Linked DNA regions of Cricetulus griseus. The protein of the gene in region 1 interacts with the protein of each later gene in a pairwise test. Links are inferred from orthologs where the notes say so. Each region holds a gene or a part of one and is shown in the gene's direction. Other genes may lie near its edges.

The links.
Region 2: the proteins of Cep76 (region 1) and Dzip1l interact in binary tests that used the Homo sapiens proteins (3 or more experiments, as listed by UniProt). The link is inferred for Cricetulus griseus from reciprocal best matches to the Homo sapiens genes CEP76 and DZIP1L.
Region 3: the proteins of Cep76 (region 1) and Ttc21a interact in a two-hybrid assay, tested with the Homo sapiens proteins (2 studies listed by BioGRID). The two-hybrid records come from large-scale screens. The link is inferred for Cricetulus griseus from reciprocal best matches to the Homo sapiens genes CEP76 and TTC21A.
Region 4: the proteins of Cep76 (region 1) and Cabp5 interact in binary tests that used the Homo sapiens proteins (3 or more experiments, as listed by UniProt). The link is inferred for Cricetulus griseus from reciprocal best matches to the Homo sapiens genes CEP76 and CABP5.

The regions. Positions count from the first base shown.
Region 1 is NC_048595.1:171,774,427-171,777,926, forward strand, and holds part of Cep76 (centrosomal protein of 76 kDa), read left to right. Parts: intron 1-607; coding exon 608-793; intron 794-3,057; coding exon 3,058-3,155; intron 3,156-3,500. UniProt on the Homo sapiens protein: Centrosomal protein involved in regulation of centriole duplication. Required to limit centriole duplication to once per cell cycle by preventing centriole reduplication.
Region 2 is NC_048597.1:208,067,856-208,071,355, forward strand, and holds the end of Dzip1l (zinc finger protein DZIP1L), read left to right. Parts: intron 1-7; coding exon 8-147; intron 148-1,820; coding exon 1,821-1,982; 3' UTR 1,983-3,180; downstream 3,181-3,500. UniProt on the Homo sapiens protein: Involved in primary cilium formation. Probably acts as a transition zone protein required for localization of PKD1/PC1 and PKD2/PC2 to the ciliary membrane.
Region 3 is NC_048597.1:227,045,489-227,048,988, forward strand, and holds part of Ttc21a (tetratricopeptide repeat protein 21A), read left to right. Parts: intron 1-760; coding exon 761-890; intron 891-2,289; coding exon 2,290-2,447; intron 2,448-2,640; coding exon 2,641-2,856; intron 2,857-3,500. UniProt on the Homo sapiens protein: Intraflagellar transport (IFT)-associated protein required for spermatogenesis. Required for sperm flagellar formation and intraflagellar transport.
Region 4 is NC_048602.1:26,482,334-26,485,359, reverse strand, and holds part of Cabp5 (calcium-binding protein 5), read left to right. Parts: intron 1-1,835; coding exon 1,836-1,945; intron 1,946-3,026. UniProt on the Homo sapiens protein: Inhibits calcium-dependent inactivation of L-type calcium channel and shifts voltage dependence of activation to more depolarized membrane potentials. Involved in the transmission of light signals.

The DNA.
Region 1 (3,500 bases):
TGTGTATGTGGAGTTTTGAGGTGGGTCTCACTATGTAGCTCTGACTAGCCTTGCACTCACAGACCCTCCCTCCTCTACTTCCAGAGTGCTTGGATTTAAGGTGTGTGCTAACTCATTTAGCTGATGGCCTTTTCTTTTGTAATAGTACATAATATAAGTTCTTTTGAAGATTAGACTTTTTATGGATCAGAAAGTACTGACTACTGTAAGTAACATAACTAAGTAACTTCTAAATAATTCATCTTATTCTGCTAGTCCTGGCAGTTGTCAGTCATAGAATGGGGTGATATTCTTCCCCCAGATTCTGGCATACTTTGAGAGACCTTACTAAATTATTTCCATCATATGTAAGCTTATTTAGAATACTTTTCAATAAAAGTGTGTGTGTGTGTGTGTGTGTGTGTGTGTGTGTGTGTGTGTGTGTGTGTATACACCCCAGTTCTCTTATATGTACACATATGTGCGTGTGGTGCTGGGTATGGAATCCAAGGCCTCGGGCATGCTAGGCAGTCACTACCACTTAGCTATATCCTCAGCTTGTAAAATGATTCTGTGTTACTAAGTAATACGTAATATAGTGTGTTTTTTCTTCGGTTTGTGTTGTTAGGTGATGGGACTAGAATGGCTGATTCAACAACAATGTTATCCATAAGTGATCCAATTCACATGGTGCTGATCAAAATAGACATATTTGGTGAGACTACTTTAGTGGCATCCTATTTTCTGGAATGGAGATCAGTTTTGGGCTCAGAAAATGGAGTGACCAATCTGACTGTGGAACTTATGGGTGTAGGTATGATGATTAATGTCACTTTCACCTTTTTATAAATACTGTTTGTTGGCAAATTTATTTTATATCAGTCAAAAGGGCTTTACAGGAGGGAGACTTGTAAAACAGGCTTTCATCAGAATTTCAGTGGTAAGTTGGCTTAGGGAATAGCTGGAAGAATAATGCCACCATAGTTCTTCAAAGTCAGTCTTTCTTATCCTGAGGAATTTTTTTTTTTTTTAAGATTTATTTATTTATTATGTATACAGTGTTCTGCCTGCATGTATGCCTACATGCCAGAAGAGGGCATCAGATCTCATTATAGATAGCTGTGAGCCACCATTGGGTTGCTGGGAATTGAACTCAGGACCTCTGGAAGTGTGCTTTTACTCTGAACCATCTCTCCAGCTCCAAAGAATGTTTTTTGTCTGCAAAATGAATGGAAATTCTGGAGGTTCAACATTTTGTTGTTGTTGTTGTTAAATATAAGGTTATAAAGAAAAGCAGGATTCTTTTAAACATATGAATAGGTGTATGCATAAGCTTCTTTCTGGTATGTCCTAGAGTACAGCACATCACCGTCGTCACCACACTGGTTCTTGGAGGGGGTGGGTTATGGGTTTTTTGTTTGTTTTGTTGGTTATGGCCAGAATCTCACAGTGTATTTTGGGATGTCCTTGAGTTCCCTCTACAGAACAGTTGGCCTGCCTCATGCTAGGATTATTGGCATGTACCACCGTGCCAGCTTCATACCAGTGGTTATTGACGAATGAGTAGATGTTCCTCTAGTTCGTTATTATGGATAGGTAAAATTTGAAAGAGTTGCTAACTTGGTCAGTGTCAGTAGCAATGAATAGTAAAGGACAGAGGTTGTACATTATCTTACCATTATTTCCTTGGATTTTGCATACTGCCTACTATGTAATATGTATTAGCTCATAAAAAGAGGAAAACAAAAACCCACTAATGTTTTATCTATAACTTATAATGTAATTGTATTGGTATTACAACTTATTCATACAAGTTAAACTTGGGGATAGCATGATGGCTCAGTGGGTAAGATGATACACAAGTAGAAGGAACTGAGTTTGTCTCTCCAGCACCCACAAAAAAAGCTGGGCATGGTGGCATGCATCTGTAATCCCAGGTCTTGATGGCGGTAGAGACATGCAGATCCTGGGATCTCACTGCCCAGCCAATCTAGCTAATTGGTGAGCTCCAGGTCAGTGAGAGACTTTTGTCTTAAAAGCTAAGGCTGAGAGCAATAGTGGAAGTGGCCCCACATCAGCCTCTGGTCTCCACACTCTTGTGAATGGGCAAAGCCATTTACATAATGTGCATGCACTCATACAAAGAAAAAGAAAAAAAGCTAAATTTGGTCAGTTGACAGCAAAGCATTCAGAATTTAAGTCAGACTCAAAATATGTCTGTACTTAAATAAAAAGAACTAGTATTCTCTTTACACATGAGATTTGTTTTTTAAAGTGATTTCTGGTTCTTTGTCTTCAAAAATAGACCTGGGCCTGGAGAGATGGCTGAATGGTTGAGAACACTGGCTGCTTTTCTAGAGCACCCATATAGTGGCTGACTGCTGACTGTTCGTTAACTGCAGTCCCTGGGGATCTGGCCTCCAAGGACACTGCATGCTTTAGGTGCATAGACAGATAGACAGACAGACGGATGGATGGATAGATAGATGCAAATAGGTCTAACATGATAATCATAACAATGACCTGGAAATAAGTATATACCGATTTGGTTAAGAAATATTGAATAGTTTTATATACATATATGTTTGTATGTTGTATATATAGATCATATATAGTTGAAAACTTGATAAGAAAGGGTAGATGGAATTACTGCATATGGTAAAAAGTTGGGATACTTTCTGATTTTCATGGAGACAGAATGGGCTCTTAACAATTGCTTTGGTTTTGTACTTAATGTAGCATCTAGTTGGAATTATATACATTAAATTATATATTATATTAAAGATATAAATTTAAGAATTCTAAATCCACAAGGTCAGAAAAGTTCCTTAAAATGTTTTTAGAAAGCTTTAGTAACAAAGAAAAAAATCAATTTGATTTGGTTCATTTTAAAAAGTTTGATTCATTTTTAATATGAATATTAAGTGTAATGTTGAGTATTATAACTCTACTTAAGTCATAAAGTACATCACTCCTAAATTATGTTGGTTAGACTTTGGTTGACTAAATACACATAGTCCTGAAAGTTCTTTGTTTTAAATAAGGTTTAAGTAGAGTTTTAAATATTTGTATTTATAGGAACAGAATCAAAAGTTTCTGTGGGAATTTTAAATATAAAACTTGAGATGTACCCACCACTCAACCAAACACTGTCTCAAGAAGTAGTGAACACACAGGTAAGCCAGTTTTTCTTTTGTACATTGCTTTAGTTGTAGGAAATATTTACCCTAGAAAGTATTGTCTTTTTAGAAAAAACAATAACATTGCTGTTTAGATTTGTACTAAAAGAATTAACCAAAGGGATGGGGAAAGAACTATTAAGCTGGGACTGGTGATACAGTTAGTGGTAGTGCTTGCTAAGCATGTACAAGGCCCTGGCTTTTAGCAAACTCCAGGACTGGAATGTGTGTATGTGGGGGGGTGTCACAAAGTGGAAGGGCATTGGAGTAGCAACATGGGGTGATATTTTAAAAGGCTTTATTGCATTTGCATGTGTTTTGTGTGCATTGGGGGTGGGTGAT
Region 2 (3,500 bases), on another chromosome or scaffold:
CTTTCAGGAACACTGGTGCAGTCGATGGTCAAAAACCTCGAGAAGCAGCTTGAAACGCCAGTAAAGAAGCCCTCTGGAGGGGTCAGTGTGTTCTTAAGGCCCAACACTGCCCTTCAGAAGTCTTCCACACCTGCAAGGAAGTCTCAGGTAGGACACTTGAAGATGACCCTACATCCCATAGAGAGACAGATCCAAATTTGAGGGCTGTGGGGTGAAGATTGGGGACAGACTGAGCAAGTATCAGCTTTGACATGTCCCCAGAAGGACATTGCATGTGACTTTGTCTCCTTTGTCCCTATATATGTGGAAAGATGACCACTTTGGATTTTTTTTTTTCTGTGCCCATGTTAATGTTAAAAAGCCCTTTGGTTCATTATGTAAGTACTTTCTGAGGAGGTTTGTTTCCTAATCTGCCTCTGAGAGCCTCCTGTTGTGGCTGCTATTTTCCCACACTGTCTCTTCCATACTGGGCCCCTCCCCAGCAATTGCTTCACAGAAGACCTCAACAGAGGGCAGGATATAAAGCACCGGCCACCATCGGAGTGTTGCCACACAGCACATCAGATGGGGAAATGTAGATAGCCGTGTTCCAACTATTCAAGATGGCGGGTGCCTCACCACTCACTGCTTATCTTGGTGGCCTGGCCTCCCTGACGCTGTAGCTGCCATGGGATTTGCAGACTTGGTACTCACATGAGTGCCAGACTCTTTTTGCCATTGTCTCCCTCCATTAGGGACCAACTGCCACTTTCTGCTATTTTCTAAGGTAGGCAAGTATAGAACTCTTTGCACTTGGTTCCTTTCAACCAAAGAGGTCCATCTGGAGATGATGAGGTTGTTGGCCTTAGCAACAGAAGTAGCAGGGAGCAGTTGACTTTCTGGTGCCGCTGATGGAACCTGGCAAGCAGGCACTGTCACTGAGCAGTCCCCATACCCCCTCACTTGTGTTTTATATTAGCACTCCTACATACCTTTTCTCATCACATGGTATGCTTGGCTTCTCTTGGAGTTTATGTAAAGAGCCCCAGTTTCTGTTCTCTACTGAGAAAGAGCACCAAATAGTGTAAATTAGACAGGTGCTGTCTAGGCCCTGGATGGTATCTTCTTTTCATGCCAGGATGAAATACATGGAATGTTATATGTCAAAGCCCAGGCAGCCAGCAGAGGAGCTGCAAACCCTGGATGGGAACTCCTGGCCTTGGCTATTACTGTGGTGTAGATGGAGCCTGATCTCTCAGAAGATGTTAGTTTGACCATTAGCTGCAGCTCAGACCTATTCCAGGATATCCTGTTGACCCCATCTCCTCTCAAGTTCAGTGTTTCCCAGGTAGCTCTGAGCACCAGTCTGTGAGGAAAGGTTCTTTTGACTAAGGTGCATTCATGTCAAGAGTGTCAAAAGTTAAAGGCTCTGGGCTTCCAGTTCTGTCAATGTGAGGAATGAAAAATCTGCACATAATATTACCCCATCTACCTTTTTATTACCTACTGATTCAGTCTCATCACAGAGCGCATGTAAACATCTCCAAGCTCTCCCTCTTCTCTGTTGTGAGTGAGCACTAATAGTCTAATGCAGATACATGATGCTGTGAACAAGCACACTGCCCAGGTTTAAATGCAAACGTGAGCAGCCAGATCTACCTGTAAACCTCCCCGAGATTCTTAGTAGGATACCAGACCTATTTCCATCACTGTGGCCCTGAGTCTCTGGAGCAGGTTTTCAGAGGCCAGGAGCTTGGAAGGCAGGACCATTTCTATCTTGGATGCTGCTGTCATCTTCCTGCATTTATCAAAATCTATTTTCTTCTCTTTTACCTCTGCAGCTTTCTGAGGATGAGAGTGACTTGGAGATCTCGTCCTTGGAAGATCTCTCCCAGGACCTGGACCAGAGAGGAAAGCCAAAGCCCTTGTCACACTCAAAGCTCCCAGAAAAGTTGGATGCCAGCCCTTGGAGCTCTGGGCGACCCAGGGTTCCTGGCTGGTGATTCTGCCTAGGGTTGCCAGAGGGCTTAGCCTTGTTGCCTGGCTGGGCTTGCCCCAATGGAAGAGGCTGTTAGGCCTCCTGCTCCCACCAGCAGCCAAGAAGCCTTTGCCATGAGCAGAGCAGGAGACAGACAGGACCTCTACCCATTCTCTCTGTAAGGACTGCTACCTCAGAGGTCTGGGTCCTGCTGCTATCCCAAAAGGCTGGGTCCTGGAGCAGTGTCTTGTGTAAATGGGAGAAGGGTTGTAACAGGACCTCCAAGTGTTTCTTCCATGATTCCCATGTCCAGCCCAGACTTAAAGGAGTTGCTGTTTATAAGTCTTTTGTAATCTGCAGGTCACCATGGAGATGGGTCCTGAGTCAGTTATCAGTTACCTACTTCATGCTGGACTCTCTAGCCTTTTGTAATCTATAGGTCACCATGAAGATGGGTCCTGAGTCAGTTTCTCTACTCTGTGTTTGACTTTCACTACAGAGTTGGGGTGCAGACAGAGGCAGGTGGTGTGAAGTGTTTGCTGCCAGGCCAAACATCGTATTCTAGTGCTGGACAGTCAAGTGTTAGGGAGCATGGGAGAGGCTGCCTGTCCTAATTTCATTCCTGTTGCTGTGGTAAATCACTGTCCAAGAGCAACACAGAGGAGGAAAGGCTTTGATAGGTTTACAATTCCAGGTCACAGCCCATCACTGAGGGAGGCAGAGGCTGGAACCTGAAGGTAGGCCTGCTTGCTATTACCACGCAGCATTACCTCTGACCAAGGAATTCACTTCAGAGCCTAAGAAGCATAGCAGGAGCCATGGTGGGTACTGCTTGCTAACCGGCTCACAGCTGTGTATACTCAGCTTTTTTTATACAGTTCAGGACCGCCTGCCTAGGGATGGAACTGCTCACAGTGGGCCGGGTTCCCCTACATCCATGACAGTCGGGACAGTTCCTCACAGACATTGCCCTCAAAGCATTTACTCCACCGAAGCTCTGCTCTTGGACAGTTCTCAGTTGTGACACATTGATATTTAGAACTAACCAGGATACCATTCAACCAAGACCAGGATGACCTTGGAGAAGTTCCCAGACACCTGGTGGAGCTTGTTCATGGGCAGGAACAATTTGGCCAAAGCCTCTTGTCCCCATAGAATCACAAATTTAACTTTTGAAACCAGTTCTGACATTGGGTTTTTATATATAGTTTTTTTTTTTTTTTCCAGACAGGGTTTCTCTGTGTAGTTCTGGCTGTCCTGGAACTCTCTCTCTCTATAGAGCAGGCTGGCCTTGAACTCAGTGGATCTGCTTGCCTCTGTCTCCTGAGTGCTGAGATTAAAGGTGTGCATGGTGGCACATGGCTGAGATTATTTTTTTAGTGTGAAAACATTTATTTATTATAGTGAGCATTTAAATAAAAAATGATGTATGCACCTCTCTGTTGTTCTTCATTGTTTTTTTTTTTTTTTCAGGCTTTGTGGACTGAGGATGGTAACGAGGGAGTAAAGCAGCTTCCATCTAAATAGTGCGGGTTTAGGGCCT
Region 3 (3,500 bases), on another chromosome or scaffold:
TGTTTTTGAGACAGGGTCTCCTGTAGCCCAGGTTAGTCTCTCACTTCCTACATAGCCAGGGATGACCTTTGAACTCCTGGTCCTCCCGCCTGGGAGCTGGGATTACAGGTGTTTGCCCCCACACCCAGTTACAGGTGCTGCCCCAGCCCCAGGGCTTTCCAAATTGGAGCAGGCTGAAGCCTGACCACCTCAGAGGCTGTCCTGGGTCAGAGCTGGATGTCCTAGGTGCAACTCAAAGCGTCCTTGCTTTCACCAGCTCCCAGGCCTTTCTGAAGCTGTGGTACAGGGACCGTATTTGGGTGGGCAGCACAGAGGCCATGCCCCGTCCATATCCTGACACGAGCTGTAATCCCAGCACTCAGGAGGTAGAGGAAGGAGGGTTAGAAGTTCAAGATCTGAGCTGGAGAGACGGCTCTGCTGCTAAGATCACTGGCTGCTCTTCCAGAGGACGGCGTGTGTGTGTGTGTGTGTGTGTGTGTGTGTGTGTGTGTGTGTGTGTGTGTGTGAATTCCCAGCACCCACATGGCAGCTCACAACTGTCTCCAGTTCCAGGGGATCTGACACCCTCACACTAATGCACATCAAATAAAGTTAAATTAAAATTAAAAAAAAAAAAGTTCAAGATCATCCTTGGCTGCATAGGGAATCTGAGGCCGTCAGGGGACCCTGTCTGGGGTGGGGGTGGGGTGGACTAGGAAGAGGAGGAGGTAGGAGAAGAAAAAATGCAAAACACACATTTTAGCCCCTGATGTTCCCACAGCCTCGGTCACCTGGCCAGCTCCTGTCTCCGCTTCTCAAACAAGTCTCTATGATCTTGAGTCCTGTGGTGAAGGTGGCCCCGGGCATGTTGGACCCACTGTTTGTGACAGCTCAGGTCAAGTTTCTCTCAGGTGAGCAGCAAATCCTAGCAAACACCTGGTGGAGCTTCTGCCCTAGGCTATATCCACGGATCCTTGCCTGGGATCCTTTTCCTGTCTCACACACACACACACACACACACACACACACACACACACACACCCCTGCATACATATGGACATGCACAGAACACCATGTGGAGGAACTGCAAGGACGTGTGATATAGGAAGAGTGTGTCCACGAGGTCCTGGATCGTGAGGCTTTCACCGAGGCCACAGCCAGGCCTGCCAGTTCCTCCCTCCCATGTCACAGTTCAGGCACCCGGGGGAGGGGGAGAGAGAAAGAGAGAGAGAGAGAGAGAGAGAGAGAGAGAGAGAGAGAGAGAGAGAGAACATTCCATGGCTACCCAGGTGCTCTCTCTGAGGCACAGCCCTCCCCTGAAGCACCAATCTTCTTGCTGCAGAACAGACTGTTTTCATGCCTCTAGTTGGCTCTACACTGAGGGCCTTCACTCATCTGAGGGCTCCTAAGTCTTTATCCTCAAGGCTCCTCTGTGCCAAGTTCACTCATAATTTTCAGGTCTCCTGGGTTCAAGGCCAGGGAGGAAGGACTGCCCCAGAGGCACTGGTAGCTACCAGCAGGGTAAGGACTAAAGCTAGGTCTCCAGGGGGTTAGGTTGCCATGGTGACTTCTTCCTTTTCGCAGAATACAAGAAAAGATGAGGGAGTTTGGGACCCAAAAGAGATGTATCCCAACCTCAGGGTGCTGGCAACAGCTATGGAGAGGCCTGGCTACAGAAGGAGGAAGTGCCCCTCCCAGCCCTCTGCACCCTAGCATTAAGTGCCACTATCAAACCAGGACTGCCTGCCTGGGTTCGGAGAGGCCCCCAAGTCTCCTCATGTCAGGAGGTTCAGGCCTCCAATGCCTTGGGTTTAAATGAAGACATAAGTCTATTCAGACTTTAGCAGGTGTTGCAAGGCAGAGCAAGAGCTCAGACATTAAAGTGCTTTCTTTGCAAGCTCCAGGACCTAAGTTTGATCCCATGCTTGTAATCCTAGTGCCAGAGTGACAGACAGGGACAGGTGGAACCCCAGGGCTGGCTGGCTGGCCAGCTTAGCCTATGTGGTGAGTGAGCTCCAAGCCAGAGAGACTGACTCTGTCTCTACACAAGGTGAATGGTCCCTGAGGAATGACACTGGGTATCATCTGGTATGCACATACTCATGCACACATCATACTTTCTCTCTCTTTCTCGTATGCACGCGCACGCACAGGCACACACACACACACACACACACACTTTAAAACTGGACAAAATGCCAACATTTTATGGAGATTTCTGTACAACGTGTGAAATCCATTCTCCCTTACTCGTTGGGTCTGGGGGCTCCTGAAGACCCCTGGATATAGACTTTGCTTTTGTGTTCCTAGGGGAGCTGGAGAATGCCCAGAGCACCCTGCAGCGCTGCCTGGAGCTGGACCCCAACTTTGTAGACGCCCACCTCCTCATGTCCCAGATCTACCTGGCTCAGGGCAACTTTGCCATGTGTTCCCATTGTCTAGAGCTGGGTGTCAGCCACAACTTCCAGGTGGGAGCCGTCTACACTGTGTGGTCCATCCCATACTCCTTTCCAGACCATTGCTGGGGCAGGGGGAGCACAAAAAGGCATAGGAAACCCCCCCCACCCTTTGCTAACCCACAGGCAGGGCAGCCTCATTGGCCCCCCGGGAGAAGCTCCCCAGGCTGTGAGCTCACCCCCAGCTCTGCTCTGCCTCTCTTAGGTCCGAGACCACCCCCTCTACCACTTCATCAAAGCCAAGGCCCTCAACAAGACTGGTGAATATGCTGAGGCCATAAAGACCTTGAAAATGATCATAAAGCTACCCACCATAAAGGCAGAAGACAGCAGGAAGCCCCGAGGCCCTTCCGTTCAGCCCAGCGAGCGGGCGTCAATCCTGCTGGAGCTAGTAGAGGCCCTCCGACTGAATGGGGAGCTGGTGAGAAATGCCTGGCATGGGGCTGGAAATTAGGTCAGTGAATAAAGAGCTTGCTGTGAGAGCATCAGGACTAGAGTTCGAAACGCCAGAACCTACAATACATCTGAGTATTAGGTTCAGTGAGAGAGGCCTGCCTCGATGAGTAGAGTGGAGAACAACTGAGAGAGATACCCAGTGTCAACATCTTCTCTCCTCATGCAAACATGAGTGTGCATCTACACACACTTGCCTCCTCCCCCCAATGGGAACACACACACACACACACACACACACACACACACACACACACACACCACAACACACCAAACACAGACACACCACAAAGAAACGCTTTGCTCCCATCCCCTGGGCTGGGAGCAAAGCTCTGGAGGCCCCCCAGGAGATCAGCTTGGGAGCCCAGCTCTTATTTTGCCCCAACTTCACTTGGGCTATGATTTGAGCCCTTTTTGCTTGTTGGTTTGCTTTGGTTGAGATGGAGTCTTTTACGTAGCCCTGGCTGTCCTGGAACAAGCAGAGGTGGATACTCTGTCTATGCAGAACCAGGAGCTGCCCCTTCCAAAGTCAGCAGATAGCCAGTCATTCCTAAAGCCACGAGTCGGTATGTCAGGCACCAGGAAGGGAGCTGGGTGAAGGACAACAAGCCC
Region 4 (3,026 bases), on another chromosome or scaffold:
GTGAGGACAGGGGTTGGGGACATGCCAGAATTAGGACAGGGTGGGAGTGAGAAAGGTGTTCGGGTCGAGAGTAGCACATTAAGTAGTAAATTGGTTAAGGGGAAAGAGCTGTCTGGCAGAAGGCAGCTGTACTGCATTAGAAGTAGTTAGAAAGAGGACTTTTAAAGATGGATCTAGACACTAGTCGCACCTTTTATTATTAAAACTGTTAAAGATTAAAAAAAATCATGAGTATGAACTTTTGCCTGTGTGTATGTCTGTGCACCAAGTATGTGCTTGGCACCTGCAGAAGCCAGAAGAAGGTACCAGATTCCCTGGAACTGGGGTTACACACAGTCATGAGCTGCTATGTAGGTTCTAGAAACTAAACCCAGGTCCTCTGTGGAATAATATCTAAGCCTGTCCAGCTTTAAATTTTAAAACTGAATTTATATATTTGATGGAGGAGGGAGTGTATGCGAATGTCACAGAGGACAATTTGCAGGAGTCAGCTCTCTCATTTCACCTTGTGGGTCCTGGGGATCAAACTCAATGTCATCAACCTGGACAGAAAATACTTTTCATTTGCTAAGCCATCTCCCTGGCCCATGAGTTCCACTTTCATTACTTACTCCTTGTGGTCATTTTGAACAGTGGAATATGTCTGGAATATTCCTGGTTTTCAGTTTCCAGATCTATCAAGTAAAGATGATCGTGCCTTATTTGTTCATTGTGTTATAGAAAGGGTGCCACTGTGTGAGAGGTCATATCCCCCAATGAGTCCTTATTGGATGTAGGCTCTTATCAGTAGAGTAGCTTGATGTTGACCTTGATGGTTGAACACACACTTGGTGTTGGATCCCATGTCACTTAGTTGCATTGCTCAGGAATGCATCATTAAATGGAAACAAAAGTTGATCTTGTGATTGAATCCAGAATTAGGTTGGCTCCTGGTCGTGGATCTGAAATAACAAAGTTGAATTCCATGTCACAATAGTAATTAGGACCCCATCTTCTGTTTCCATATCTGCAGGTTCAAGCAAGTGCCAACAGAAAATATTTAGAAAGGAGCTGTATCTGCACTGAACACATACCGACTTTCCGTCTCTCCCTGCTTCCCAAACAATTCAGCAGAGCTGCTATTCACAGAGCATCTCAGTGTAGCAGATAAAGTATAATCTAGAGGTGACTAGAGCATATGAGAGATTGCAGTATACATATATTATGACACTTATGATAGGGACTTGAGCATCAACATGCTTTGATATACCATGGATGTCCTAGTACCAGTTTTCAGGGGATGCAAAGGGACGACTATCATCTTTCCTGAAAGAGACTGGTCCACATTTAAGTCCATATTTCTTCTACTGATCTATAGGTGGAGTATGACTAAGCCTTAACCCAGTAAGAGATTTGCGAGTGGGTCTGGACAGATGACTCTGTGGTTAAGAGTGTCTACTGCTCTTGCAGAGGCCCTGAGTTCAGATCCCATCACCCATGTTGGGCAGCCCATAGCCATCTGTAGCTCCACCTGCAGGAGAATCTGATGCCCACTTCTGGCCTCTGTGGGCACTGCACTCATGTGCACACATACACGTACACACAGAGAGTTGAAAATGACGAAAATGGAAGAGATTTGCTGAAGATCACCCAGTTATACCTATGTCCTTTGTCTAATAAGTTCGTTCACGTTAGAGCAACCTGAGGACTTGACTTGGCTGAGAAGAGGAAGAGACTAAAAATTCTTAGCATGTAGAAAGATGGCAACTGATCTATTTCTAGCTTGAATGGAAAGTGTGGGGTTAGAAGTTCAGAGCCTGGGGAATCCTTGCCAACCGTGGTTCCTTCTTCCTCAGTTGGTGGCCGTGTAGACTTCGAAGACTTTGTGGAGCTGATGACCCCCAAATTGCTTGCAGAGACAGCAGGGATGATTGGTGTCCAGGAGATGCGAGATGCCTTTAAGGAGGTGAGTTAATAACTCCGTAATGCTGAGAGAGAGGAGAGGGAGACCTCAAGGAGCTAGTTTTATTAGTTCACACCATGGGCATTGCCCCATCAAAATCGACTAGTTGGGATTAGATTCAGAAGGCAGGAGAATCATATTCCAAACACTTGGCAATATGTATTCATCTTATTTGACCCTGACGTAAACTCTTAAGAGTAAGCACACATTTATTGCCTTTGTACATATGAAGAAACTAAGGAGCAAGGGTTGCAAATGATATCTAGTACCCCATGTTCCCTACATGCTGGGGCCTGTAATCTTGGTTCCTGCAACAGGAAGCAAGAATCTGAGAATTTGATATTTCCAGAAGCTCAGAGTTGTTCTAGGAAAGGAAGCTTCCAGTACAGAGGCTGTAGGATAGGAAGATGTTTGCTGGACATAACAAGAAATGGACAAGCTCTCCAGGGGCTGGGGGTGTGGCTCAGTGGCCTAGTACTTGCCTAGAATCTCCCAGTGAGGGGCTGGGGGCGTGGCTCAGTGGTAGAGCCCCTGCCTAGAATCCCCCAGTGAGGGGCTGGGGGCGTGGCTCAGTGGTGGAGCCCCTGCCCAGAATCCCCCAGTGAGGGGCTGGGGGCGTTGCTCAGTGGTAGAGCCCCTGCCTAGAATCCTCCAGCAAGGGGCATGGTTTTGCAGTAGAATAGTGCTTTAATGTATGCAAGGCCTTGGTCCCTCTTTGGCTTTCATGTCACATGTATTCTGTTATCCCCTTCTCTCTTTCTTCTTCCCTTAAATTCTCCTCTTTCCCTCTCATTGTCAGCTTTCTAGTTTCATGAAATACCCATGCATACACATACATACTCAAATTTAAATCTATGTTCCATGTAGAAGAGAGAACATCTGACTTTTTTGTCTTTCTGCATTTGGCTTATTTTGTTTAATACAATGGTTTCCAGTACTGCCCACCTTCTTACAAATGTCATAATTAAAATTATTGTTATGGCCGGGCGTTGGTGGCGCACGCCTTTAATCCCAGCACTCGGGAGGCAGAGGCAGGCGGATCTCTGTGAGTTCGAGGCCAGCCTGGTCTCCAGAGCGAGTGCCA